Linked DNA regions of Astyanax mexicanus. The protein of the gene in region 2 purifies or fractionates together with the protein of the main gene of each other region. This does not show direct contact. Links are inferred from orthologs where the notes say so. Each region holds a gene or a part of one and is shown on either strand. Other genes may lie near its edges. The genes, in order: ago3b, dicer1, prkra and ago1.

What was found.
Region 1: the proteins of dicer1 (region 2) and ago3b purify together in Homo sapiens (affinity purification with mass spectrometry; 3 studies listed by BioGRID and IntAct, with this or other methods). This does not show direct contact. The link is inferred for Astyanax mexicanus from reciprocal best matches to the Homo sapiens genes DICER1 and AGO3.
Region 3: the proteins of dicer1 (region 2) and prkra purify together in Homo sapiens (co-immunoprecipitation; 4 studies listed by BioGRID and IntAct, with this or other methods). This does not show direct contact. The link is inferred for Astyanax mexicanus from reciprocal best matches to the Homo sapiens genes DICER1 and PRKRA.
Region 4: the proteins of dicer1 (region 2) and ago1 purify together in Homo sapiens (co-immunoprecipitation; 7 studies listed by BioGRID and IntAct, with this or other methods). This does not show direct contact. The link is inferred for Astyanax mexicanus from reciprocal best matches to the Homo sapiens genes DICER1 and AGO1.

Annotation. Positions count from the first base shown.
Region 1 is NC_064410.1:30,427,884-30,435,808, reverse strand, and holds the start of ago3b (protein argonaute-3), read right to left. Parts: upstream 3,016-7,925; 5' UTR 2,343-3,015; coding exon 2,324-2,342; intron 1-2,323. Other genes in the region: olah (S-acyl fatty acid synthase thioesterase, medium chain), read left to right, coding at 4,627-4,633, 4,881-5,015, 5,834-5,972, 6,294-6,393, 6,578-6,747, 7,741-7,823.
Region 2 is NC_064421.1:4,264,422-4,272,432, reverse strand, and holds the start of dicer1 (endoribonuclease Dicer), read right to left. Parts: upstream 3,012-8,011; 5' UTR 2,912-3,011; intron 1-2,911. UniProt on the Homo sapiens protein: Double-stranded RNA (dsRNA) endoribonuclease playing a central role in short dsRNA-mediated post-transcriptional gene silencing.
Region 3 is NC_064418.1:32,496,289-32,504,024, forward strand, and holds the start of prkra (interferon-inducible double-stranded RNA-dependent protein kinase activator A homolog), read right to left. Parts: upstream 3,010-7,736; 5' UTR 2,938-3,009; coding exon 2,900-2,937; intron 1,876-2,899; coding exon 1,703-1,875; intron 540-1,702; coding exon 458-539; intron 246-457; coding exon 167-245; intron 1-166. Other genes in the region: casp10 (caspase-8), read right to left, coding at 5,550-5,712, 6,349-6,856, 6,977-7,097, 7,185-7,258, 7,345-7,401. UniProt on the Homo sapiens protein: Activates EIF2AK2/PKR in the absence of double-stranded RNA (dsRNA), leading to phosphorylation of EIF2S1/EFI2-alpha and inhibition of translation and induction of apoptosis.
Region 4 is NC_064408.1:119,808,961-119,815,874, reverse strand, and holds the start of ago1 (protein argonaute-1), read right to left. Parts: upstream 3,009-6,914; 5' UTR 2,883-3,008; coding exon 2,858-2,882; intron 1-2,857.

The DNA.
Region 1 (7,925 bases), on a different chromosome or scaffold from region 2:
CTTACTCTGACAAGTTTGATAAACAGAGTTTAAAGAGTTAGCAAATCAGCTCATTCACATTAATGGGCTCTCCTTGCTAAAAAATGCATAATAAACAAAATTAGGGACAGAAAAATTACCATCCAGGTCATATTCATCCATATATTGTACAATACATTTATGACATTATGACGGTCATACAATGAGGTGGCCATATGGGTTGTGGTTTAACTGAGCTAAAATCAACCGTGTTTAATATTATCATAAGTGAACAATGTCAATGTCAACAACCAATAGGAGGGCTACGGAAAGCCACAAGGCAAGCGTAGGGAGGTTTGCGGAACATGAAATGGATGAGACTCCAGTGATGGCTCGGAAACCACAGTTCTCCTAGAGTATACAAAAGTAGGAGAAACTGGTGGAGCTGTGTAGTGAGCAAGAGTGTCTCTTTAACACATTTCCTACTTATAATAATAATATTAATAAAAATAGTAGTAAAACATAATAAAATAAACTCTGAAAGAATCTAGTTGCAGTCTTGCAAATAGTGACCCTTCAAGATCCCCAGTCTTTGCCATCTGTGACTAAAAAGTCTGTAACTTGTCTTTAGACGTGAGAGGGTGTCAGACTTTAGTCTATTAAAAGTGTTTTCAGAGTGTTTTTGAAGTCGTCTAGTGTATGGTTAGCATTACAAGCAGTGATGAAAAGATATAGATCACATTAAAGAAATTAAGAGTTAATTTGCACAAACAAATAGATAGATGCTATCCTTTAAACATAGCTTTATCCATTTTTGCAAATGAACTCTTCAAATATTAAGACAAGAAATTAGCAAAACCATACATCTGATTTTAACAGCAGGGAACTGACTGATCTTCTGGCACTGCTGACCTGTAAACCACGTGCAGACTAGACACTTACAGAAACCTAGAACCACACACTACTAATCTGATCATCTGTGAGCAACTGGTCACAGGTAATTCTTTACTGGTATATCAGTTTGGGTCTGATTTCTAATGTTTTCCAGTTAAACCAGTTGTGGGAAAGCAGTCACCAGTGACACAGCAACCAGTAACTCAGTCACCATGACAACGGGAGGCCTCCCCCACTCTCCCCTCTGTGACCACACACACTCTCGCGAGTTTGTATTACTATCTTTGTGGGGAAGGCTTATTGTAATGCTGCTGTATTGTTTTACTACATATGTCCCCACGACGTTAGAATTCCCGTGTGGGGCAGTTATTGGGCAATTGGCATTCAGAAAGTGATAAATACACAAAATCTCTCTCTCTTTCTTTTAATTTCTCTCTCTCTCACTTTTACACACACAGATACATAGGTTTGTATTACTATCGTTTTTGGGGAAGGCTTACTGTAATGCTGTGTTGTACTGCATTACTACAGGTGTCCCCCACGACTTTAGGATTCCTGTGCGTTCCTGTTAGTTATGGGGCGTCTGGTCCTCACAAAGTAATAAATACACACAATATCTCTCTCACTCACACACAAGCAGCTCACGCAGCAGCACCTGATCTCCACGCCACCTGTGCGTGACAGGCGAGTCGCAGCGCCGTGACGTGGAAACCGCGAGTGGGTAAAAACCCTCAAACCGCCTCCAATCGACCACCAGACAGCCGAGCCTGCATAAACCTCCAGAATAACGACTTCTAATCTACAACTAAACAACTTAAACAGCTGCTAAACGGCTTAAAACAACTGTTAGCTGGGTTAGTTAAGTTAGCGTTACTTAAGTTACAGGGAGCCGGGGGGTGTACTGTCGAGTTGTGCTACCCGTCGATTTGTGCTACTAAGCGGTTCTGTGCATGCGCTAAACTCTCGATTTAACTGTTTTCCTGTGTTTTTCCTGATATTTAAAAAAATCTCAGGTGCAGTGTACAATCTGGACTTACTGTCATCGTTAGCTCGAGTGTTACAACCGTGTAAAAATGTATGATAAAAATATAGATAAAAATGATTAAAAAAAAATGTATAAAACTGTTTCTGATCACTTATATTGCCTTAACTTTACCTTAATACACCGAGTAGGCTATTCAAATATCATACCGACACGTTTACTGCGAGCATGTTCTAATATTTCGTATTTTACCTTTAAATATACACTAGGGTAGCATAGTTTGACAAGGTTGCTAAAATCGACACAACACTGAGGGGTCGAGACACAGTGCATACGGACCCCTGAACGAGCCCCACAGTCCCCTCAGAAGACCCTCCTGTAACTATCTGACCTGACTAGTTAGTTAACCAGTTATTTCACCTGCTGGTTAACCCCACCCAGCCGGGTCCCCAGCTGGGGTCACGCTCCGGGAGAAGCTCGTAAACCTACCTGTAGTACCGATTTCCATTCATGAGGTCTCTGCCCGGATTCCAGTCAGCCGGCTTTCCAGAGCTGGTGCCCGGCTTACGGGTGGTGGTAGTAGTGGTGCTGTAGGGTCTCCGCGGAGCCGCTGTGGGGCCGCTGGAGCTGCTGGAGCTCGGCTAACGGCTACCTCTCTGTCCTCCTCGCCCCGGCCGCGGTCGCCGGTCTCCGCTGCGGCTGATGAGACCGTCCCGTCCCTGAGGGTCAGCTCGGCCTTAGCTTCATTCGGTTCTCGGTGTTTATCGTTAGTTAGGTTAAAGACAGCCTCCCCGCCGTGTCCTTCGCCTCCTTCAGTAGCTCCCTCCGTTCACCGGGACTCAGTAGCGTTAATTACTCCCAGCTGACAACCGAACCAACTCCTCGTAAAAACTCCCGAGAGCGAGAAACAGCTTTTCCCTTCTTCTCAACTCGAACCAGAGCAGCAGCTTCTGTCTGACACTCGATAAAACTCACTAAAACCTCCAACCTCCACTCAGCCACAGTTTATTACAGTCTAAAACCAGTTAAAATTCGTCCTTCTATAATAAAACACTCAGCACCGCAGCAGAGGTTCAGCTCCGGGCTGTTTTTCTCGCTGGTTCACCGGTTCGTCTCTCCGACTCTCTCCGCTCCTGTAACCGGTTCACCATCTCTCTCTCCACCGCCGGGCTGAGGGAGGGGGACCACAGGAAATACCAACGGCAGGAAGCGCCGTCACATCCTGCAACCATGTCATTCATTTCTGATCCACGTCTGAGACTTAATTCATTAAAGAACATAAATAATAATATAATTAAGTTTCTGAAATTCTGTTTTAGTCACAACAGAAAAACATTGAAGCTCAATTCGCTGCAATTTTATTTTATAACCACCTCCACTACCCAGCTTTCCTATAATAACGATTTTTTTCTTCAAATTTATTCATTTTTTCATTATAGATTAAAACATATTCTTCTTATTATTATTAATATTATTATTGTCTTAACCCTCAAAAGGCATGAAATATATTTTTGGAGAGAAAATAAAGTTTTGTTGTTTTTTTTGGTTGATAATTGATAACAAGCTCATTAGAAGAAAACACGTTTTAGTAAGCTTACAACAAGATTGTAAGAATAAAATAAGAATATAAACAACCAAATATACTTCTTTACGTATTATTGCGCGTATATAGATTTTTATTTATGACCCACTTGTACGCCTCATTGTTTTGGATATAGATATGCCTTGCAACATTATATTATAATACAAATAAAAAAAATATAATAATAAAAATAATATAAAATAAGGTATGGTATGGAATAGTGCAATAACCAAAATATGGTTTGATTCCTGTGGGAAACATTATGCCATATTGTTTTTTTATGTTAATTTAATGGTTAGTTTTGGCTTTATTTTAGTTTTCTTGTCTAATGTTAAAATGTTTTCTTTTCTTATTTAAAAATATATATATATTATTTATTTTGATTATTATTATTAAATTAAATGATTATTTTGCTATCTAACCTTAGTTATGCTTATTTTTTCAATGTTTTACCTTGCTTATTTTATTCCATGTTGTGTTTGTATGCGGTGGTTTCATATTATATTTAAATTTTTCTATTGTAAATGCTCAGCTGCATTGAAAATGTACCTCAGTGTACCTCAGAGTGAAAATACATGTATGTGATTGATTAATTGATTAATTAAATATAGAAGAAAGGAAAACACTCCAGGTAAAATCTGTAAAAGTCTCAAAAGTCTGGTGGCTGTTTTAGCACAGTGGTCTGAAGATGGCAGCATTGCGCTCTGGATTTAACTGAGCTCACCACAGAAGAAACTGAAGAAGCGCACCTTCAACATGTGTGTGTATGAAACGTTCAGCTGCGTTTAGAGTTTAGAGTTTAAATGCTCCTGGTTCTGTTTAAGCAGAACAGCGGTATACACCCTCATTATTTAGAGATAAAAAGTTAAATCGTTTATTTTGTTTGTGTTCCAGGGTTGAAACTGATATGAACTGAAGTAAAGACTGAAGAAGCGCACCTTCAACATGTGTGTGTATGAAACGTTCAGCTGCGTTTAGAGTTTAGAGTTTAAATGCTCCTGGTTCTGTTTAAGCAGAACAGCGGTATACACCCTCATTATTTAGAGATAAAAAGTTAAATCGTTTATTTTGTTTGTGTTCCAGGGTTGAAACTGATATGAACTGAAGTAAAGACTGGGTGGTGTTGAAGGCACCTCAGGGATCTGTTCCAGGGAACGTTACAGTGATTGGACGGGCTACAGTGTAATGTACTACAGTGTAATGTCTTTAAATGGCAGGTGAATAGTTTGCTCTTTATTCTGAAGTGTCAGTAGACATATTTATCAGTGGTATATTTAAACAAACAGTTATGAAACAGTGGAGCTTATAAACCTAGACTGTTATCTAGGTTATTTATTGCTATTTTGTACTTGGACTTGGAGTCTCATGTAAATAACCTTACTCAGCTGTAGACTGGTTCCTAGTTCAGAAGGATGGTATTGTTATTTTTTAATCACCAGTAGCTCTAACTCTGTTTAATTGTAGCTGGGATGGATAAAGTCATTAGCTGCTTCAGCAGGAGGCCGGACGCTGTGGTCAGACTGATCTGCTTCCCCTGGGCAGGTGGAGGCTCCATCCACTACGCACGCTGGGGGAGACTCCTCAACTCCTCTGTTGAAGGTACTTCTCCGCTACACTGACCTTTACTGTGTATTATTGTGCTGTATTTATATATATATATTGGCAACAAAATCAAAGTGAGATCATGTGGATTTATTTCTACAATGCTTAAATGATTTGAAGGACCATTAAGTATTATATTTTCAACATTAAATGATAAAATGATCAGGATGTTTTATCAGATATTAGATGCTTTTATAGCATTTTCTGGTGTTTGAAGGCCCCTCATCCACTGTTCCCAGCATTTCAATCTGTGAACTGTGAAATTTGTTTTACATTTCATAAGTAAGAAAAATAAGAAAAATGATCACAGTTCCTGCTTCTGTTTTATAGCTATAAAACAAAAAAAAATGTTTCTTTGGCACTGGTTTGTACACCACCATTCTTATTACTTAAGAAGAACATTATAAGTAAACATTGATTTTTTTTGTTACTTTACATATTTTTAAGATTGATGATAGAAAAACAACATTTAAACCATCTTTATTTAAATCACTCTCACATAAAGAGCCTCACCAGCTCTATTCCAGTTCTATGCCAGATTCAGCCCCTTTCAGAATGATCTGCTTAAGGGCTCTGTCACTTATGCAAATAGGCTGTTGTTTATATAAGATCTTAGAGTATTTAAAGATTTGTCTTTTTCTTATGCACTTTTCCACATTCTCAAAACTTTTTCTGAGATGGTGCTGTAAGCGTTTAATGTATGCAAATTAAATGGATATTAAAGTATGTTGATACATTATGTGTCTGCGCTCTGACAGTTGGTGCTTTTTGCTGCTTGTGTTATTGCTCCTCTTTTTGTTCTTTGTGATATGCAGTGTATTCAGTCAGACTGCCCGGCAGGGAGAGCCGAGCTAAAGAACCATTCTTCCAGCACATGCAGCAGATCCTCGATGAGGTCATCAGTGTGCTTTTGCCAGAACTCAAGGAGAAACCATTTGCTCTCTTTGGACACAGGTTGGTGCTAAAAAAGTTATATCTCACATCTACTTCACAAATGAATGTAAAGTTTTTTGTTCTCTGGGATCAAAAACAACATTTTGGTGCTAGCAAAAATGGAAACCAAATTTCCTATAGGAAATATTTTTCTTTCATAATTTGTTTGGGAAACTTTGTGTTGTTTGCATTATTTGGCAAAATGCAACAACACTGTTTATAATGTTTTCAACAGATTTCATCAATGATTTAAAAAAAGTTTTTTAAAAACGCATTAAATTTCATGTATTTTACTTCAGGCACTTTGTGGTTTCTCATCTCATTGTGGTTCCTTTTCCCCAGTTTTGGTGCTATGACCAGCTATGCCTTTGCCGAGTATGTGAAAAAAGTTCACAATCTTGAACCAGTCCATGTGTTTCTCTCTGGAGCTTCTGCGCCTTATGTAAGTACAGTTTGTTCACTGCAGTAGTGATTTCAAAGAGAACAGTGGCATAATATAAGTTATTGTAAAGTGGTATGACTTATCTGCTGGTAAATCATTACATGTTTTTTAATTAAAACATGTAAATGTGTAAAGAAACATTTACAATAACTTTTTAGCTAAAACAATTAATCCTCTCTGTCAGTCTGAAACCAGATTACAAGCCCCACGGAGAAGCCAACTGTCTGATGAAGAATTCCTTCAGTGGATGACCTCGATTGGAGGAACTCCTCCTGAAATATTGGCCAATCCTGAAGTGCTGAAGCTGTTCCTGCCAGCTTTGAAGGCGGACCTCGGTGTAGTGGAGAATTACAGGTTGGTGGAATGCAATTAACTGCATATGAGTTTTTATATAATTAATATATTTCTTGTAACACAATTTCACTAACACATTTTTAGTATTGTATTTTTTGCACTATAAGGTGCACCAGATTATAAGGCACACTATCAATAAATATCTATTTTCATACACAAGATGCACCAGATTATAAGGAGCATTTTAAGCAGCATTTCTTAGAAACAGGGGTGTCTCCACATTTCCCTTCTAATTCAGCAGGTCTTGCCGCTGGGTGGGGAGACCGGTAAAGCTATGATATGTAAAGTAAAAGAAACTGTAATTCTTAAAAAAAAAAACATTTTCATACGAGTCAGACAAGTCAAACGAGTGCTGGATGTAAATCTACACAGATTTCTCTCCTAAAAACTGTTAATTTGGGAGTTAATTTAAGAGATTTACAGATTTCCACTAATGCTGGAACTAACTAATGCTGCCTAACTGCTGCACGACAGAGCTACACTGAGGAACCTTGAGTGTTCCAGTAAGCCAGGGCCATATCAGTTAGCAGTAAAAATATCTAGCATGTTTAGCAGGTAATGCTAATGCTGCTCAAGCAGTGTTGGCCGAGGTTAGCAGCAGACTACAAGCTAATAAGATACAAGATAATACTCACCTCTGAGCAGCCAAATGGCTAGCGCTTAGCGGGTAATGCTAATACTGCTGGAGAACTAAACTAAAACGCCTGTATAACTCTTTACTTCAGCACAGTAGTTTTGCTGCTCCTTACAACCTGACTGGTAAAATTCATACACCAGATAATAAGGAGCACAGACGATTTTTGGGAAAATTAAAGTATTTTAGGTGCACTGTATAGTCTGAAAAATACAGCAATTTTCAATTACAATCCAGTGCCACCAGTGTTGTAAGGACATTTCCAGTGGCATTCAAAGTGACATTGTGATTTCCACAGATTACACTGAGAACTGAAAGTTATATGTGTAAATGTTTACGTGTGTGTTTGTGTGTTGCAGGTGTAGCAGGCCAACAAGACCTTTTCTTTCATGTCCCGTCTCGTGCTTTGATGGCAAGGAAGACATGCCACACGACTTACAAGGTTAGAATCCCGTAGGACTGTCCTGAACAGTACTGGTGTTCCAGCATTACTCCATCGTCCATGAGAACGAATGTTAAAATATTGTGTGTGTTTATATTCACT
Region 2 (8,011 bases):
TTATTTGTGGCACTTTATAACAGCATTATTTTAACTGCTTAAACTTTAAATATTTTACAAATTATTATTATTATTATTATTATTATTATATTATTGCTGGATGCATTATAGTTTGAAGAGTTTCTTTTAAAGAAATATCAGCATTAGATTAAATAATATTAATATAGGTCTGGCAGAATAGATACTTTTCACTACTGTATTATAATGTCTCAGGATATAGTGAGCAGAGAGGGAGGGGGAGAGAGAGAGAGAGAGAGAGAGAGAGAGAGAGAGAGAGAAAGAGAGAGAGTGAGAGAAAAAGAGAGAGAGAGAGAGAGAGAGAGAGAGAAAGAGAGAAAAAGAGAGAGAGAAAGAAAAAGAGAGAGAGAGAGAGAGAGAGAGAGAGAGAGAGAGAGACATGTCAGTATAGAATTCCAATCCCAGCCCTAGAATGGAGGTACTAAATCTCTGGCAAGCAAATAAGTTTAAAAAAGGCTAAATAACATATGACGTCAAATTGCTGTACAGTGCTAGGATAGTAACATCAGCTAAGCTAAAGTAGCCCAAGAATTTGTTTGTTTACAAAAAGTCTGGCTGTGACTTGAGTAGCACTGCTGAGATAAAGTTATGGTTAGAACAGTACTACTGAGTAAGAGGTAAGTTAGAGACCAGTGGCACTTCTAATGTAAATGTGTTATTAGAATAACCCTGTTGAGACAAAATACATTGTGCTGGATGGAGCATAAATTATTCCAGAGAACACAGTTCAACAGTTGAGGAGCTTCATAGTTCAACCCTGCAATTAGGGGCCAGAAAATCATGTTTACGTCTCTACATTCTGTTTATTTGCGCCAGGGGGTCCTATTCTTTTGGCAGTTCTTTGTCAATAGTTGTGCTGTATCTGTACCCACTTTTTTATACTACACCACCCTTATAGTTTTGTATTACACTGTTCGGTATCCATCCATCCATACATCTTGCTTAAAGCAGCACTAAACCACCTGATTTTTGCTGACTTCACCCTCAGCTCAAATTTGGGTGATGTATGGGTTTAAGGGCAGGAAGAAGGAAGAGCTGATTGGCTGAGCTGTGCCTCTGATAGCAGTAAGATGCTGATGGTTGGAAGTCACCAGAGGTGGTATTATTAATTGATAGATTGATTGATTGATTGATTGATTAGAAGCTAACAGCGCTAGAAACAACATAGCTGAAAAGGTTCGTTCCTGTGTTATTTGTGCAAATATCACATCAGTGTTATATGTTTTGCCCAGTAATTCAGGTCTAAGGAACAAATGGTTAGAATTTGTCTATATAACACCACCAGTGAAGTACAAGTAGGTGTATGTTCTGTTTACACTAGTTAAAAATGAAAACCTGGACCTGGATTACCCACCTCTGTGTGTAACTATAGGTTTACATGGGATCTCCGGTGGATTTGGCATTTTACAAAGACTCTAAGACTATATCAGCGGCTGAACTGCACTTAGCAGTTAAAAAATACTCTTGTACTAGTATTACACTTGTTGTAAAATAACATATGACATTGCAAAGACTGTTATTAGTGTGAAAATGTCTTTATTTTAAAACGTTTTAACTGTTCTCCATCTCTCCGCTTCCTGACGTTGCAGTGCTGTTAACCAATCAGAGGCGATATGTTTGCATGTATGTATTCATGAGCAAGAGACAAATCCTGTTTGTTTCTACCCACCCACTGCTCCACCTGACTAAAGCAGCCTTATACCAGATTACCAGAGCTATTTTTTTATAAACAAAAACCAGCTCACATGGAATATATTCATACTAGAGACCTCAAAAAAATGATGGAACAAGACCTATAAATGTTAGGAAAGGTTTACAAAAAATTAAACAGGACTGGTATGTTTTTTTTTTTACTTCGGAAGAACACTTTAATAAAAGCTATTTATGATTTTAAAAAATGATTTAGGGTTTAGTGCCTCTTTAATGACAGATTAAAGATAATCACCCAGTGTGAGACTTTACACTATCTTACACTAAAGTCACTCAGATCTTGTGAATCTTGTGAATACAGCAGATTAAACTGATTTAACAGTGAAACAACAGCTTAAACACAGTAAATACTGTTATCAAAGTGTCAATACTGTAAATAATGTGTGTGTGCCAGACTCCAGGCCTCGAGGCGACCTTGGCCTTGTGGCTGCGTTCAGTTCACACAGCAATAAATCCATTTACAAACCCTAAAACAGCATTTCACCATGAGTACTGCATTCTGTAGCGCTCACACCTTACTATTACATTAATATATTAAGCTATAAAGCTGTAAATTTACAAATCTGAGCTGCATAGATTCTGTTCTGATCATCTGTGTGCCATCATGATGCTGAGAAGGGTAATTATATTCACATAAATCCGGGATAAGGTGATCAGATCATGGTTTGCAGGTAAGTAAAATATAGTATTTGCTGTTTAAACTTCAAAAACTGTTTAAAATAATAAAGAGCATGTAAAAAATAAGGTATAAGTCTGGTCAGCTAACGTTAGCTTAGCTACAGTGATCTGTATCCATATGCGCGCTGCAAAAACTAACCTAGGTTAGCTAACTAGCTAAAAAGCTAACTACATTATTAATTAAATTATATACAATAAAGCCATAAATACAGTTAATTTCCACAGTATACAAATAACCAAGATTTCACACCCAACTCCTGTCCGGTTTAATCTAAATTAACCTTATTTATGAGCTGAAACATAAGCTAAGCTATGAGCTAAGCGTGTTGGCCTGGCTGCTGATTAGCTTAGCCGCTATTAGCTTAGCCAGCCAAGCTAACGCACCGCGATCCGACATTTCTATTACACATTTTGCCCAAAATCGCAGATTCTAACCCCAAATCCGCCCCGCGGACAGTTTATAAAATGTGTCCCAGGTGTGGAGAGTAAAGATCGGTGTGTTTACCGGCTTTGCGCGGCTGGAGATCGCGGTTTTATCGGTGTTTAGTCCGTGAGTGTCTCTCCCTCCCGCTGCCGGAGAAACGGAGAAAAAGCGACCGCATACGGTTTTAGCTGCAAATTCACCCCGCGGGACTTTTATTCTACAATGTAAAAGTCCCTTCAGCACATTGGTTGTCAGATAAAATTATATTACTGACATACATAAATTTACTTATAAAAAAAATCGCAATGTATCATATGGGCAAAATATATAAATAGAGACATTTTAGATTTAGTTATTCTTGTTATCATTTTGGGTAAATATTATATATACTCATATAAGTGAAAAGCCATAACTCCATCATTCACATTGTTTATACATGATTTTGCCTTTTTTATATATATGTTTTTTTTTTCAGTGTAATATAATGTAAAATAATCCATTGCCCCTGTACAACTAAGAGGCAATGCGTAATTATTTGTAAATACAGTTTTAAGAGTTCTTTACTTTTTTATAATTTATATTGTATATATTGTACCCTTTATTTTATTTGTTATGCCTTGCTATCCATTTGTTGCTGTACTACTGTGAAATTCCCCACTGCGGGACTAAGAAATGATTATCTTATCTTCTCTTCTCTTTTCTTTTTTTCAAGTCACTAGAATATTTCAAGAGATTGAATAGAAATTGAATAGAAATTATATGATATCAAAGTCTTTGCTTTTTTAATTGTGTGAAACTTGACTTCCTTCATGTCCAAAAGACAATTATTGCCTCCTTGTTAGTATTTCTCTTTCTCTTAAGTGTTGCCTTATTCTGTTTTGTTTTTGTTGCTGTTTTTTTTTTTCCATTAGCTGAAAATGTACTTGTAGTGTACACTGGAAACCTTCCTAGAATAATTATTTTTGCTCTCACATTACTGTACACTTCTGCTACCTTTCTTGATTTGTACATTTACTTATTAAAAAAAAAGATCTCTGTTTTCTATTCATTAAAAAATAACTATTAATGTAAAATTATTAGAATTATTAATACATTATTTATACTAAGTGCCACAAACCAAATTGAGAAGATATAAAACTATAAAAAAACGTTTTAAAGTATTTTAGTAAAATATAAATATACCTTTTTTGTTACATACAGGAAAGTCACACATTACAGCAGAACAAAAAAACTAATAAAAAGCCTCAGAGAAGAGTGACATCAGGTGGCTGAAATAAATGTCTACAGCCTGCACTTTTCCCTCGAAGCACATAAACCCTGTGACATATGGGCCATGAGTGCAATTTGCTTTTTGTAACTCTTTCAAATTACATTTATTTTTAAAATCTTTTTCGAAATTGAATCTAATAACACATGTATTTGGTTGTTTAAAACATGTACTGGTCAAACTCAGACAGCTTTACTTATTTTTGTACAGTTGAAGATTATAAAACAAAGCTGAAGATGGTTACAAAACACTCATGTATCATTTAAAAAGAATGTGTTTAAAGCAAGTCCACTTATTCCTTTTATTTTCTCTCAAGAAAGCATTTATTTTAAAGAAATGGTTGACTGCATGTTCAGATAATTAATATTTATGACAAATAAAAAATCCTCCTGTTAATGGCACTCGTTCCTGTTACCAAAACTCACTCCTGTTACTGGTGTAAAGGAATTAAAAAGACTACAAAATAATAGAAAAATATTTATATATAATAAAATGAATTCTTAGTGAACAAAAGGGCCGGTTGTAATGTTTCATACTGCTGTTGGAGTTTGATTGATGTGCTGTAACAGCAAAAATTTATTTTTTTTGTCTGTTTTTATTTTGGACTACAATTCCCTGCACCAACAAGAAAACTACATTTTCTTTTATTAATTATCGCTCCGTGCCTCCAGGGTTGCCAGGTTTGCTGTTTCCCTCCAAATTGAGCTTGTTTAAGCTACAAAAAAACGTTAAAGAAGAAAGAAGAGAGTTCAAGAGGGGCAAGAACAGAAAAGAGTAAATAAAATAATGTTATTATGTTACTATTAAATGTTCTTGACTGAAAATTAAAACTGTTATAAATAAAATAATAAAACACTAATGTTACAATACTAACAATGACTTAAAGATAAATAACAATACTGTTCATAAATCCCTTATAAAATCAAGTAATTCACTCAGATGTTTTGCCATTTGCTTCAAACGTGTGACAAACTTAGATTTTGGTCTAGTTTAAGGTTCAGAAGGGTGTGTTTTAGACTGTGTTTGGACTGGATATTTTTGTTAGACCTGGCAACCCTGCTTCCGTACCTCATTAGGAGCTTGTACGCAGCGCAGGAGGTAAGCAGAGCAGAAAAACTCCGAAAATGTGCTGTTTTAAAATAATATATGTATTTTTGAGACACGTTCTTGGCAAAAGGAGGTTTTATATCAGTTCTAGACACATTTTTGTGTGTTTTTAGCAGGTATTGAAGCATATTTTGCCTAATAATTACTCATTTCTGGGTTACTAACGTTTTGGCGCCAAAACGCTAGTTACCACTATGACCGAACTGGCTCCCTATTTACTATTTAGGGCACTATAAAGTATATCAGCCATTTTTCTCCGAGTGTCCAAATCGTAAGGGAGAAGTTGCATGTGATTTTGAGGCACTATAAACTCCCATAATGCATCCTGATTTATAGTAAATATCGCCGTTTTCAGTGTGAGCTAAATGTGTCCCAGAATGCATTGCGAGACTCACTACTAATCAACAGACAATCGATCAAACGAAGCAGACAGCGAGCCACCAGGGTTGCCAGATTGATACAGTAGGAATCAGATAAGTCACTGTTTAAAATGTTTAGAATTAGGGGTGGGCAATATGGCTCTAAAATAATATCACGGTATTTCAGGGTATTTTTGCGATAACGATATACTTGGCGATATAGGAAAACTAAAATAATTCATTAATTTCAGGAATATAGTATAAGAGAATAACAGTATAATCATAATGTGGCAAAATAAATAATATAGCATAAAATAATACAATGCAGCAAATAATACTGCAGAATATTTAGTGCATGAATATAAACTGCGAACTAAAACAATTATACAATAAATACACCTAAAGCTTCACAGTAAATAATAGACTACTTTTAAGACAGAACAGCCCTATTATCACGATATGGATTTTTAGTATCATGATATTTCTTTGTCACGATATATTGTATACGATATAATATTGCCCACCCCTACTTAGAATCCTCCATAATACTGAGTAAAACAACCTTACAGCTAATGTTCAGCATATCTACAATATTACAGGGTTTATTCCAACGTGATCTTAAATAAAACACCTTAAATATTTTATAATATCACCAATTAAAAAAAAAACGTTATTTAAATGGTTTTATCTGCATGTTTATATTATATATGTGTTTTGTGCATTGTATAGTAGGACGAACGACCCAAAGCAATGAAATGAGTAAATACGTAGAGTTACATAATAACCAACACAAACACTTTTTATTTAAACTTCCATCAGCAGGACTGAAAAATCCGTCTCTGCAAGTTTAGCTAACTAACCACAACGCTGAAGAGTTATATTTTCAAACTCTTAACACTTTATACAGTCAATTTTAGACACAACTCAACATTTAGTATAAAACAGCCAATCTGGCAACACTGCAAGCTGATGTACGCTGTTTATTTCAGATGTAGTTAATTAATGTGAGGATTATGTTTGTAAACAGCGTAACTTAAGTATAACAGTCAGAGAGGAAGAGCTTCACTAATTTTAATTCAGAGCTCAGTTCAGTGTGTTTATGAAGTTTTAAACACGGTGTTTTGTCGAGTTGTGCTATCTTGTCAAACCGTGCTACCCTAGTGTATATTTAAATGTTTAAAATACATAAGTAGCACCATATTATAGCATGTTCCCTGTAGAAAGCCCAGTAAATGTAGCTAGTATTTTTGGATAGCATAAATCACTGTGTCATGGTAAAGTTATGGCAATGAGAGGTCATTACAGACTGCTTTATTTTATTTTTTTTTTGTAAATAATAACTATTGTATTTATTTTAATTAATTAATATTTCCACTTTTGTGCAATGACAGTGAGTCCAGCTTGTTTAATGCACAAAATACATTTCTATTATGAAAAAAAAAAACACAAAAAAGGTGTAGGTCGGCGCATGCGCACTACCTTTATGTATCGATGGGTAGCATAATGGGTAGCATAATTTGACAGAACACCGTTTCAGTCAGTCAGATGTTTATTTATGCGAGCAGAACGTTTTATACACGCTCTGAGGGCGTGTCTGAATTCACTTCTGTTTCACCACTACTTAGTGAATTCGGACACGCCCTCATCATTAACATGCGCCCGCTCTGCTCCCTTAAACACCTGACCGGCTGAACTGTGTTTCAAAACTCCATAAACACACTGAACTGAGCTCGGAATTAAGGTTAGTGAAGCTCGGAGCTGATCATGGAGTCAATAATCTCTCTAACTGTTATATTCACGCTGTTTAGAAACATAATCCACACATTAATAATGAACTACATGGAGAAACTCTTGAAATTAACAGCGTACACCGGCTTATAGTGTTGCCAGATTGGGTGATTTTATGAAAAATGTGGAGTTGTGCTTTGAGGGGTGGACAAAATGACCAAGTATTAAAAGTCCATCGTTGTTTGTTGTAGTTAGATATCTAAAAATTGCAGAGACAGAGCTTTATTCCTGCTGATGGAAATTTGAGTAAGTATTGTTTGTGTTGGTTATTCTGTATGAGTATTTGCTTCTTTCATTGCTTGCGAGCTTATTTATATGTACTGTAATTGCTTTTCTTGTTTTTTGTGTCTTATGATACGCTAAACACATATATAATACACACATGCAGATAAAAAAAATTGTCTGCTTTTTTTTGACTGTATGCAGTTTAGTAGCAAAACTCTCAATGCATTCTGGGACACATTCAAAAAGTGTAGTAAGCAGCCATGTTTATTATAAATTCGATGATGATGCATTATGGGAATTTATAGTGCCCTAAAAATCATGTTCCAACTTTACTTAACGATACGGGCTCTCGGAGAAAAATGGCAGTAGGGCTGCAACTAATAATTATTTTGATAGTTGACTAATCTGATTATTTTTTCAATTAGTCAATGATTA
Region 3 (7,736 bases), on a different chromosome or scaffold from region 2:
GGTTGTCTCTGTCATAAAAAAATCTTGAAAGACATAAAATTTCCTTACTAAAGTTCCGTCTTCATTTGAAAATAAACAAATTTTTCAACTACTACAGAAAATTACCTTTCGAAAATACAATGCCATGCTTTATACTGCGTTTAATAAAGCACAGTGAGTGACATACCTGCAATATGCCAATTGGATTGTGTTGGTCATTTGTTTCAGCACTATAGCCATTATTCTCTGGATTTGGAGCAATGGGCCTTTGAAAAAGAGGAAATATGTTAGATGAAGTCACTTACACATATACTGTTTACATCAAAAACAGACTATATATGTCTAAAGAACTGTTGAAAACTGCTTAAGTTTGTTTTTGGGGGTTTTATTAGAGATTTTAAGAAAGTAAATAAGTTGTTTGTCCAACCATTGCTACTAGATGTGCCTTAACTTCTGTCAGTTGTTGGTGTGCACTCACTTATTTTCAGTGTCCAGGTCTAGCCTTTTCAGAGCCGCTTCTGCTGCCTCGTGTTTGGCAGCCTTTTTACTCGGCCCCTGACCTATATGCAACAAACAGTAATGGCACAGAAATCTACAATGATACTGAGTCCTTTTAGAAACCATTAAACAAATACTTTAAATAGCTCGGAACACAAACAGTCAAATTAAAAAATGGTATGAGCCCCTTAACAGTATTTCATACTCAAGATCAGCTTTTGCTATAACATGGTTGTGGATAGTCTTGACTGGGCTTTGATAACCAAGGTTTTGAAAAGACACATACCCTACAGTTGCAAGATAGCTGGTTAGTTGCATAGTAGCATAGTGTATTTTGCACTTGATTTTGGTCATGCTCATCGACCAGCTCGTACTTGATGTTCATGTTGGTCGACCAGCTTGTCCTTGCTGCTCATGCTGGGCGATCAGCTCATTCTTGCTGATTCACCTGCCTGATAACGCTTGTCAACCAGCTTGCTGGTCTGTCAGCGAGATCCTACTAATCACTTAAAGGAGAACTCCGGTGTGAAACAGACTTTGGGTGTCTTAAAACGTAATAAAAAGTACTTACCTTTGTTGAATTGCCCTCTTCAGCTCTCCTGCAGCCTTCTTAAATCCAGTATTTCGAGCACTTTGCCTACTGGGTGATACGGGGCATAGTTTGCCCATGCAGATAAATCCCCTTTTATACCGTTATCCAGGCTCAAAGTAGCTCCACACTTCATCGGTAGAATCAGGAGAGCCCTGACATTTAAAACGAGGCACTTAGAACCTTAAAACTGCACAAGAAGTTCTTATTCTCGTTTTATCTCCAAGGGCAAACTATGCCCGGTATCACCCAGTCTAAAAGCCTGTTTGGGTAAAGCAAACAAAATACTGGATCTCAGAAAGCTGTGGGAGAACAGAAGAGGGCTATTTAACAAAGATAAGCATTGTTAATCACGTGTTAATGCCCCCAAAGTCCATTTCACACTGGAGTTCTACTTTAAGTCAACCGGCTAAACCAGCACGAATAGCTCATGGTTTGCTGGTCATGATGCTGTATAATACCTATCAAGCTTGGTCACACAGGCTGTCAAGCATGAACAGGATCATTTACCTTTGGTGATCAACCATGAATCCATTCTTGTTCAAACACAAATTAAAACATACTCTATGCTGGTCCAGAGCTAAGTTGGTAAACCATCTGTACCAGGCCATGCTGCTTATTTTAGCAGGGTCTTACCTGTACAGGTGATGTCCCCTACTGTGACGCTAAAGACGAAGAAAGGCTGATGAGCCTCTCCATCCGTTTTCTCCATAACGTACACGGGCAGCCTGCCTGTTTTGGAGCCGTACTCGTGAAGCACCTGAATAGGGGTTTTATCAGCAGCAACGGGCTGAGCCGCCGAAGCCGGCCTGAATAATAAGTGAAGAGGGGAAAATAAGAAAATACTGTTAGCTTAGCTTAATCATAGTGCTAACGTCACATCACACCGGCAAAAAGGTGTTCTGTCTTGTTATGCTACTTTGCCAAACCATGCTACCCTAGTGTATATTTAACTGTAACAATACAAAAGAAGCACCGTATTAGAGCAAGGTCTCAGTAGATGTAACTAGCGAGTATATTTGGATAGCATAAATCACTATATCGTGGTAAATGTATGGCAATACATTTACAAATCTGCTTTTGTATTTTTTAATAACAAAAATAGAACAACAATATTGATTGTATTTATCATTATTATAAATATTATTATTTGTGCAATGACAATGAGTCCAGGTTGTGTAACGCACAAAAAAATAAATATTAAGAAAAAACAAGAGAAAAAATCAAAACGCGCAAGTTAGGTCAGCACACGCGCAGTGCCCTTAGGAAGCACGTATCGATGGGTAGCATAATTCGATAAAACACCCGGCAAAAACTAGCTAGGTTAGCTTAGCAGCTTAGCCAACCTATGTTATATATACGGACAGCTGTCAGATAGTTTACCGTAAAATAGCTACCATAGCTAAAGCGGCAGCAGCAACATTCATAAAACTGGAATCTGCGGATCTCAACACAACATCAGCTAGCGAGCGTTAGCTAACAGGACCTAAAGCTACCCATTTAACGCTAACCATCAGCCTCTGCTAACTACAAAGCTTAGTAGCGTTTTGCTAAATTTACTTTAGCATTTCTTGGGTTTATGTTCACATTAATTCGTCGTTCTTCGTGTATTAAGGCCGTTAGCTAGGCTAGCTAAGCTAAGATAGGTTGGTTAGATACCGGTGTAAGTTTCAGCAGTTAAACGGCTTCTGCTGAAGTTGCAGAGACAGTGGAAGCTGTGCCAGTTCTCGAGCTAAACACAGGTCTAAAGCCGTTTCACTGATTATATTAGACTATATCCAAACACAGAGCAAACACACAGCTATATAACTACTAACTTGAAGCTGAACTTACTGGGATTCAGTCATTACTGAAGGAGATGTGCTCGCCATACTTCTTGCGGCATCCGAAAATTACGGGGATCTATCTCTGTGTTTGAGGCTGGAGTCGTGTTTGAGTGTGTATCCAATCGGACAGCCAGGATTTAAACTGGCACGCATTTTGACCAATAGGCTTCCAGGGTTATACTATCACCCCGCCTGTATCTGCAGTGAGCCAGTCGCTGTTGTAGACTGTGAACATGGATCATGGATATGAATATTTAAAAAAATAATATTCTGGCCAGTTTATACTGGTGACTGATTTGGGCAGCAGCATAATGAGCAAATGTGCATATTTCAGAAGAACACTCCACTTAAGATAAAATATAATTCAGCACATTTCCTCCCTCATTGTTAAGTAAACTTGTTATTTTAAGATCAAGATTTTACTATTTAGAAAGTCCATACATTTTAAGATACTGTCTTGTTATTTTGAGAAATTAAATAAATATTTGGAGATTCTATCTAATTAATTTGAGATAGATATAGTCAATATTTTGAGGGGTCATCGTTATTTTAAATTGCAATCTTATTATTTAGAGATACTAAATCCATATTTTAAGATACTGTGGCGAGCACGGGGGATACTGTGTTTTGTGTGTGTGTCACGTGGGGGCCCCTTCGGCTGTTGTAGGAGGGGCCATGCAAATGACGTGCTACCCTGGAGTAACAGGGTAGCCAGTTTGGCCACCTGGCCAGGAGCTCTGAACAAGGGTGTTTCGGGTTGTACTTGCCTTACATGTGTAAAAGCAAGAAACGAGCGGTAAGACGTTTGTTTTGCGAGAATGGTTCCATCCGTTGTGTCTCCTTAGCGGTCGTCACAGTACTATCTGATTGATAATGACCCTACGTAATTATCTTGTATTAATACCTTATAATTTTGAGATTCTAAGTAATTATTTAGAAATGTTCTTATTATTTTGAGATACTAAATCGTTTTTTGGAAGTTAATCATTATTTTGAAATGCTATCTGATTATTTTGAGATTCTAAGTCATTATTTTGAGAGTTTATCATTGTTTTCAGATGTGATTTTTGAGAAGTCCATATTTTGAGATGGTGTCTCATCGTAGTTTTTAAATTGCATTTAATATATCGTTTTATTTTTCGTGGGTTTTAGCAAACTGTGGTAATTTCTACATTCAGATTCTAGCAATTTTGTAATGCTGGGGTCTGTCAATAATAGCTTTAGATGTTTTGAGTAAAAGACTAGCACTTGTCACACAAAGCGGGATAAGGGATTCAACTGCAGATTTTAATAATCTAAAAACAGTAGAACACAGGCAAACGGTACAGACTGGGGCAAATCCAAAAGTCAAAAATACAGAAAGATAGTCATAAATACCAGAAACAAGAAGACAAACACAACAAACAGGAAGAATTAACAAATGCTTCGAAATGTCGTACACATACAAACAAGGTAAGTCCTTAAATATTGAAACTTATTAAACTATAGGAAACAGGTGAGCCCAGCTGCTTGTGGAGGTGCAACACCAGGGTCAATCATGACAGCACTTAATTACAGTCTGGATAGAAATGTTTGCTATAGATATAAATTATCTAAATGTAATTAAAGATGATAATTGTGGCACAATATTTAAAAAAATAGGGCATTTAAGTCATTCAAACACATACCTGTAACATCAAGTAAAACTCTAGTACATCAAACATCAAGTATTGAGTATTTTTTATACTCATTTATTCATTACAAAAACATTCAGAAGTAATATTGTATATTTTAATGAGACCAATAGTTGATCATTTGAGATTAAAAACGTTCAGGATTCAGGTTCCTACAAACACGATTCAGAGCAACAAAATCTAAACTGTGTTAAATTTCTGTTGTTTGGTCAGTATTACATTAATTTAATATTTACATTTGCAAGTTGGAAAATACAAATGTGATAAACACAGTATGCATACAAATATTTCAGGCAAACAACATCAAAAATAAGTACTGAAATACTGAATCTAGCAATTGTTTTTTACATTGTGTCAATATTTCATGATGAATATATCCAACATTTCTTGAAATTATTTTTTTACATTAAATTGACACTGAAAGTCTTTTTTTTTTATTTCTCTTCTCTTAGAGATGAAAGGTTTCTGCGTAACAACAAATATATTATGTTTGTTTTTTTGTCTTAGAAGAAAATCATGTGTTTTTGGAATGTATAGAATCATTGTGAAAGCCTCAGTACACTTTTAGCAATACAAAGCGTGTGAGGGTTCTTAAACTCACTCTGCAAGTGTACAAGTTTGCACTGTCTGTGCATCTGGATACTCCAGTCCTGCCACCCCTCTTTGCCTCCTCCACTGTTAGTTGACAGGTTGAGCAGCACATTTGGTTCACAGGGATGGGGACAGTGGTTGGCTCAGTGGATAGAACACCATTTATTGATGACAAGTTTGAGGGTTTAATAATTGGTTTTTTACAAGCTGTCACTTGTACTTTCTACAAGGCAGCTGGCATGGACATGAAGAATATATGTGAGCTGTGTAGAGTGAAGTTTTACAAGTAAATATGGCAGGATGCCATCAAAAATGTGCAAATGAGTCCAGTTTGCAAAACCTGAATGTTGTCTTCACATAAATTACACAAAGGGCATGACAGTTCCAGTTAAATTATATTAAGGAAGATGTAGAGATGTCTGAAGGAACAGGGAAGATGATTAACTTTCTCAGAGTGAATTCTGGCTGTGGCATCTGCTTTTCTAAGCCAGATCTGCTGGTCTTCTTGCTGACTTCATTGTTTACTTGCGTCAGGATGGACATCAGATCAGTACCCCTACACACACAGCAAAATACAAGGGAAAATAACAGTTAACAGCTTTAAATCATTGTGACGGTCCAATAATAGGGATGCTGCATACTGCACTATGTAACTTTGGAGAAGCAGGAAGGATAATATTTGTAAGAGGTTAGGAATTTGGCATACATGAAGTCATAGTTTCCTACCAATATCCTGAATCGTTTTCCGAGTTTACACTGAATCTGACAGTTGTTATTTACCTGGTGAAATACTTGAATATTTTTTTTTTACATTTACTATCTTGATGGTAAAGTGATAAATAATAAATTGATCTGTATTTGTCTGTAATGTTATTAAATACGCAGGTCTCTAAAATGGCATATAGATACATTTACGGGTCTCACTATTTTTTTATTTATTTTTTTGCCACTGCTGCAAGATGCATGGGCAGACAAAGAGGAATTGGATTTTGAAAGGGAGTCACAATTTGGCACAACACTGGTTCTGGTGTATGATGACAGCTCTAACCATATGAAAGTGACTCAAATCCGATTTAAAATATTGAATTAGACAAAAAATCTGATCTGTGTCGCATTGAGGCAAAATATCTGAGTCACTTCAGTATAATAATGTAAGCATAATCTATGAAAGCAAAGGAAACATGAATCTCACCTTGGCACCAGCTGTTCAAGGCTCTTACACAGTGTCTGTATAAACCAGGTTCCATTTACTGTCTCCCTGTATGAGACAAAGTTTGGCACTGTGGCCATGGACATCAGGAAGTCTGCCCCTGCAGGTACAGACTCTCTGGGCACTATAGCATCAGAGAAGAGTTCAGGCTCCATGCTGTTGCTCTCACTGTCTGACTGCAGGAACACCACCCTCTGTCTTTCTATGCCCCTGCAGGCCTGAATAAAGAAGATCTTGGGTTTGTCAATGAGAGTGGGGCAGTGATAGCCATCCAGGGGCTCCATCAGTTCCTTTAGTTTCACCTTCCCACCATCCACCCCATAAACACCACCTTCATAACCGTGAGACAGCACACAGCACACCACACAGTCAGCCTCTCCGTGGTCACGACTTTTCAGATCTTGTAGGGCCTTTAACATACGCTCACGACTGCAGTCCCGCACCACCTCTGTCGTAAATCCCAGCCATTTAAACACCTTCAATAATCTCTCTGTACACAGACAGAAAGAAAGGCAGACAGAAAGACAATACATTTATCCCACAGCAAACACAGAATTATACCATGAATCAGTACATGTGATTTTAATTCAAATGTCTTAGCTGTGCTCACTCTCATCTGTATCTGTACCCCCTCTGTAGTTTAATTTAATGGGACTATTTGAGAAGTCGTAGTTGTTGACGATCATGCAAAATCCTCTCCAATTTCCTGTCATGGTATACTTCTCCACTTCCTACAACACAAAATATCAAAGCAGCTGTCACAGAACAGACACCAATAAACCCCTTCTACAATTATTAGAAAAAGAGGAGCATGTTACCGAAGTGCTTTGTTGGTAGGGGTCAAAAGAGCTCATGCTCACTTCTTCTGTTGACCGACCATGGTGAGATTGAGCTTAAAACAAATCATATTTAAACCATAGTTATACCAGTAGCAGACATTGATCCATAGGAAGCAAAAGGTTACGAGAGCATGATTACCTTGGTTGGAAGTGTCATTGATGCTCAGGTTAGCAATCTGTCCCTCCACATTGTCACCTCAAGGTCACAACACACAGAACACACAATAAGCAAATGTTCCACAGTATATTACACTCTAAAACCCCAGTTACACCTGGTCCATTCATACATCATAAATATCAGCATTATATCTTGATAAACCAAGACACATAAAAAGGAATTTAAAGACCCATTTAAAACATACAAATCTAAAGAATCTAACTATTTTAGGAAGTGGTCTGAGAGCCATTTGACCCAAGCTTTACACTCATCAAAAAATAGTTGCACCCAGAAGTGGAAGGAAACCAAGAGGAATGAAACTTAGTTGATTGTCCAGACAGACTGTCATGGAGTGACTTAGAATGTGTCCTAGC
Region 4 (6,914 bases), on a different chromosome or scaffold from region 2:
TGTTATTACCAATACCAATGACATCTGAGGTAAATTAAACTCAGTATTAATCCATCTGAATAGGGCTTTCATTAGCTGTTGTGCGTTGTTGTGCATTATGACATATAATTACATAACCAAGAGTATGACTTCTATTAGCTTTTTTTTCCATTTTAAATAAAAAACAACTGCAACACACAACACACACCAAAACATGTACCAATATTGCTTCTTTAGAAATAAAAAAAAATACTGAATTACCAATACCACTAAGTACAATTACTTTTTACACCAATTTTACCCAATGACAAAACAAATATAACAGAAAACAGTACCTGTATGATAGGTCACTGATAATTATGTGATCAAATTTTGGTTAATAACAATGTTATTCCTGGCCCTGCCTACCTGCATTTAGCAAAGCATGTTTTCTTTAATAAAGTACAACAGTTACTAGTTTGTATTATTTCAACTGTGGCTTTTTGGCTTTTCCAACTGAAACTAAACTCATGGGTATCATGTAAATGCCTTGCTACATTAGATTTCTTGGAGTGAATCAAAGCACACTGACAGAGAAGGGTCCGCACCCCATCCAATTACATCATGAAATTTACACTCTGACAGAGGTCAACTCTGAGCCCAAAGACAATTGTCATCAAAACCCCACAACCCCAACACAGCTGGTTATCAGTGTAGAGTTACCTCTGTCCCAATGATGCCCTCAAGCTGGCAATACAGACATCTCCACTAAGTTAGCAGACAAATATTCCAAGAAAGTCCAAGAAAGGCAATTTAAGAACAAGAAATATTAGACAGACCTGTCTACCAAAAGATCATCAGGATATTTGGTCAGACTCTGGTGTAGTGGGGCACTACTCTACTGTGCAGTGATATTTGCACAAATATGACTGTTATTGAACTATGTGAATCAGGAAACACTCCAATAATGACATAAACATGATTAAGGGCCTAAGAAACTTCTTTCTTGAGACCTCTATATTAATAGAATTAATATGACCCTTATTGAACTATGTGAATCAGAACACACAGTAATGATAACAACAACCACAACAGTAGGATTGAAGGACCAAGAAATGTCTTTAAGACCTCTAGCTTTAAAAGAATTAAACAAAAGGCATTTTAAGATCAAGAAAACTATTAGACAGACTTGTCTACCTAAAGATTTTCAAAATAACTGATCAGGCTTTAGTGTAGTGGTGCACTATTCTACTGTGCAGGGATATTTGCTCAAATATAACCATTATTGAACCATGTGAAGCAGAACACATGCAACAATAATAACAACATGATTAAAGACCCAAGAAACTTCTTTCGTGAGACTTATAGCTATAAAAGAATTAAACGAAAGGCATTTAAGACCACGAAAACTATTAGTCTTGTCTACCAAAAGATCTTCAGGGTAACTGATCAGACTCTGTTTTAGTGGTGCACTATTCTACTGTGCAGTGATATTAGCTTAAATATAACCGTTATTGAACCATGTGAAGCAGAACACATGCAATAACAATAACATGATTAAAGACCCAACAAACTTCTTTCGTGAGACTTCTAGCTATAAAAGAATTAAACGAAAGACAAATTAAGGCCAAGAAAACTATTAGACAGACTTCTGTACCAAAAGATCTTAAGGATATTTAATCAGACCAAAAAAAACTTTCAGACAAACTTGTCTAACAAGAAATCTTGAGGGTAATTAATCGGACTCTGGTGTTGTGGTGTGCCCTACTCTACTGTGTAGGGATATTTGCACAAATATGGCTGTTATTAAATCATGGGAAGCAGAACACACTCCAATAAAAACAACAACAAGCTTAAGAAACTTTCTTGAGCCCTTTAGCTATAAAGGAATCAAACAAACAGCATTTTAAGATCAAGTAAACTATTAGACAGACTTGTCTACCAAAAGATTTTCAAAATAACTGATCAGGCTTTGGTGTAGTGGTGCCCTACTCTACTTGATATTACATTGATATTGATATTTGCACAAATATGACTGTTATTGAACTTTGTGAAGTAGAACACACTCCAAAAAATTACGATTAAAAGCCCAAAACACTTATTTTATGAGACTTCTAGCTATAAAAGAATTAAAGGAAAGACAATCTAAGACCAAGAAAACTATTAGACAGACTTGTCTACCAAAAGATCTTCAGAATATTTTATTCTTGCGACTCTGTTGTAGTGGTGTGCACTATTCTACTCTGCAGTTGAACTATGTGAAGCAGAACACACTCTAATAAAAACATCATGATTGATGATGAAACTTCTTTTTTGAGACCTCTAACTATAAAAGAATTAATCAATCCATCAACAAGCTTACATAGTTAGGCACTAGTAAAACTGGGACTAGAACAGACTAAGAAAGGCTGACATTATTTATGAGTCAAGCAGCAAGAACCACACATCTGGGCTTGGGGGCTGATCAGAAAGGGCAAAGCCATAAATTTACCATAATCAATAATCATTGTGGGATGTTGGATGGGGGGTGGGGTTGGACCATCTGCATGTGGACAAGGCCTCTTCACTAAAGATTCCCACGACCCTACTGCCTCCTGACCCCTGCAACACATTCCCTTCCACCTACCATTCCCATCCCCAGATTTTTCAACCAATTTTTCAATGCTTGATCAAGCATGAGCCAAATGCAATTTTGCACAATATTCATATTTATTGAGAATAATGAAGGAAAGCACAAATTTTGGGGGGTTGCTCCACCTTGGATGGACCACCCATGCTTCTTAGATGGAGCTATAAGCTTCTACCAAGAAAACATACTTAAACAAACCCAATAATTATGAGAATTGATCAAAAATGAACATTTCCACCAAAAGCCAAGCCAAACCAGGCATCCACTCACCAGCGCCAGATGCTCCCGGCTCCATCCCATCCACTTAGGCGCGCCGTCTCAACGCAAGCCCCGGGGCTCCACCACCACCACCACGGCCGGCCCTCGCCTCTACAGCCTGCTTTCCCCGCCGTGGAAAGCGCCTCTTTCCTGGCTAAAAAAATAAAGAAAACCAACCCACCCCCCTGCCCCTTTTGCCCCCCCCTTGCCCCTACCCTCTACCCTAGCTGGAAGCCCACCCCCAGTCCCCCCGAGTCCTCCCCCCAGCTCCTGGACCCCGCAGAGCCGGGGAGACAATAGCAGCTCTGGCCGTGCTCCTCCGCTCCGCTCCGGTCTTTCCAGCGGGGCTGGCTGCGGCGCCAAGCCGGGGCTCCGCGCTCCAAGTCCCGCTTGGCCGGATTCCTCTCCCCGCTTTGGTTGTGGGTCTCCCTCCTCTTTTCTTTCCCTCCTTTCCCTTCGTTTCTCTCTCTCTCCCTCCCTCTCTCTCTCGGCGTGTCTGGGTCCTGCTCACCGTTCAAGCAGGATTCTCCAGAGTAGGAGCAGACCCCCCAAAAAAAACAAACAAAAAAAAAAATCCCACCACGGACAGCCGAGGAGAGAGGGCCGCCTTCTTCGCCTCCTCCTCCCGCTCACAGCGCCTCCTGTGCGGGGCAGCTGCTTTGTGCGGCCGCCCTCTAGCGAGCGGTGGTTGGGGACCGTTGGGGGGAAAGGTTCACACACTGCTTCACACTGCAATGAGCGTTGAACTCGTTAACCTCGAAAAATCTATTTATATATCCAAGATTTACTAGTATTCTTGATATACATGAATTATACTAAATGAGCTATTTACACAGGAGTGCAAAAGTTTGGGTTGAAAACAAAACTGCTTAAAGCATCACATTCTTTACTCAGATTAGGGTATTAGGGTGCCATTTGCTTGTTGTAACTCAAATTAAGCTTATTTGTAATATTTTTTTCAACTCTAATAACACATGTATTTAACTATTTAAAACATGTACTGGTAAAACTTTTTTTTTTCAGATTTACTTAATTGTTTACAAGGTTTCTAAGCTAAAGGTGATTACAAAACTTATGTGACATTTAAAAAGCATGTTTAAAAGCAAGTCCACTAATTCCTTTGATTCTCTCTCAAGAAAGATTATATATTAAAGAAATGGTTGACTGCATGTTCAAATAGATATTTTTTATGACAAAAAAATCAATCCTATTAATGGCACTGATTCCTATTACTTTTTTATGTTTTGAGTTATCATAGAATTAGCAAAAACAAGAAAAATAGCTAAATGGCGGCTATGCAAATAGCATAAGGACACTGAGCACATTTTAGTGATCTTCCCAAAATTTGTATTTTAAAAATAAACAAATAAGATTTAAGAATTATTTTAGATAACGGGACAGAGTGTTGAGATTGAGCTCCTTAGTCAAACAGAAATGACATACATTCGGTGGAATGGCCCATTAAATATTTTTGGTTTAAAAAATACTTCTGTAGACGTATTCTGACCCTAAACACTGCTCAAAATCTACTAAAACATTCATGCAGAGGATCAAGTACAATGTTCTGGAGTGATTATCTCAGTCCCCAGACATGAATACTATTAAAAATCTGTGCTGTGATTTAAAGCGAGCTGTTTATGATCAGAAACCATCAAACTTGACTGAACTGGAAATTATTTGTAAAGAAGAATGATCCAAAATACCTTCAGCCAGAAGCCAGACTCTTATTGGAAGATATAGGAAGTGTTTAGAGGCTGTTACTTCTGCAAAAGGAGGATTGTCTAAATATTGATGTATTTTTTCTGTTCAGGCCCAAATTTATGCACCTGCCTAATTTTGTTCAAAGATTTATTTCACACTTTCTGTAAATCCTATAAACTTAATTTCTCACCAGCCTGATCAGCATCACCAAGCTATTCCACCAGCCTGATCAGCTTCACCAAGCTATTCCACCAGCCTGATCAGCATCACCAAGCTATTCCACCAGCCTGACCAGCTATTCCACCAGCCTGATCAGCATCACCAAGCTATTCCACCAGCCTGATTAGCATCACCAAGCTATTCCACCAGCCTCATCAGCATCACCAAGCTATTCCACCAGCCTGATCCGCATCACCAAGCTATTCCACCAGCCTGATCAGCATCACCAGCTATTCCACCAGCCTGACCAGCTATTTCACCAGCCTGATCAGCATCACCAAGCTATTCCACCAGCCTGATCAGCATCACCAAGCTATTCCACCAGCCTGATCAGCATCATCAAGCTATTCCACCAGCCTGATCCGCATCACCAAGCTATTCCACCAGCCTGATCAGCATCACCAAGCTATTCCACCAGCCTGACCAGCTATTCCACCAGCCTGATCAGCATCACCAAGCTATTCCACCAGTCTGATCAGCATCACCAAGCTATTCCACCAGCCTGATCAGCATCACCAAGCTATTCCACCAGCCTGATCAGCATCATCAAGCTATTCCACCAGCCTGATCCGCATCACCAAGCTATTCCACCAGCCTGATCAGCATCACCAAGCTATTCCACCAGCCTGACCAGCTATTCCACCAGCCTGATCAGCATCACCAAGCTATTCCACCAGTCTGATCAGCATCACCAAGCTATTCCACCAGCCTGATCAGCATCACCAAGCTATTCCACCAGCCTCATCAGCATCACCAAGCTATTCCACCAGCCTGATTAGCATCACCAAGCTATTCCACCAGCCTCATCAGCATCACCAAGCTATTCCACCAGCCTCATCAGCATCACCAAGCTATTCCACCAGTCTGATCAGCATCACCAAGCTATTCCACCAGCCTGATTAGCATCACCAAGCTATTCCACCAGCCTCATCAGCATCACCAAGCTATTTCACCACAATGATCAGCATCACAAAGCTATTCCAACAGCCTGATCAGCTTCACCAAGCTATTCCACCAGCCTCATCAGCATCACCAAGCTATTTCACCAAAATGATCAGCATCACAAAGCTATTCCAACAGCCTGATCAGCTTCACCAAGCTATTCCACCAGTCTGATCAGCATCATCAAGCTGTTCCACCAGCCTGATCAGCACCACCAAGCTATTCCACCAGTCTAATCAGCATCATCAAGCTATTCCACCAGCCTGATCAGCATCACCAAGCTATTCCACCAGTCTGATCAGCATCTCCAAGCTATTCCACCTGCCTGATCAGAATCACCAAGCTATTCCACCAGCCTGATCAGCATCATCAAGCTATTCCATCAGCCTGATCAGCATCACCAAGCTATTCCACCAGCCTGATCAGCATCACCAAGCTATTCGAATTTTCAATTTTAGGGCACATAGCACAAAAAGTAAGAACATTTCTGTTTGGTAGATTATTTCAATTTGTAACAATGCTTCCTGACCATAATACCAATGAAAAAGTCTGTTAATTTCTCTTTTGAATTATGTCACCTTTAAAAGGAACATATATTCGACTGATGAGCAGCATAGCTGAGAATATGGGTTGTGCCCATGAAAAAATTGCCAAATCTTCTCTGTCATTGCCAAATAACTTATTATGCTGTTGCAATTAACACTTGTTTTTAGCTTCTGGTTCCTTCCAATTGGAAGCACCTGTGGGCATGGGCCATATGGGTTACAGTGGTCAGTAGGTGTCTGGCCTAAGAATTGGCATAATGCCACAGTTGACAGATCTTTATTAGCTACCTAGCTAAAACATTCCACACAATAAAGTAGTTAATGTTACCTAACCTAGCTGACTGTAAAAAAATAACTCAGCAAGGCAGATTATTGTAAGTCTTTGAAGTTGTCTGTTAGTTTAAACTATAGCTTGCTAGCTACAATTATCTCCTGTTTGCTACAGGTTTGCTTTTTAACTAGCTTGCATTAGCTAAGAAATCTAGCAATCTAGCTATCTACCTGATGGGTTTCTTAAACTGCAGTTAAGTTACCACTTGCCAAGATGTGACTATAGACACTATACACAAAAATAAGCAAAGAAGCATGTCTATGAGGCAGCTTCCCAGACAGTTCATATTCATAACCCCCCCTTCCATGATGAAAGTATGGAGGATTGCAAA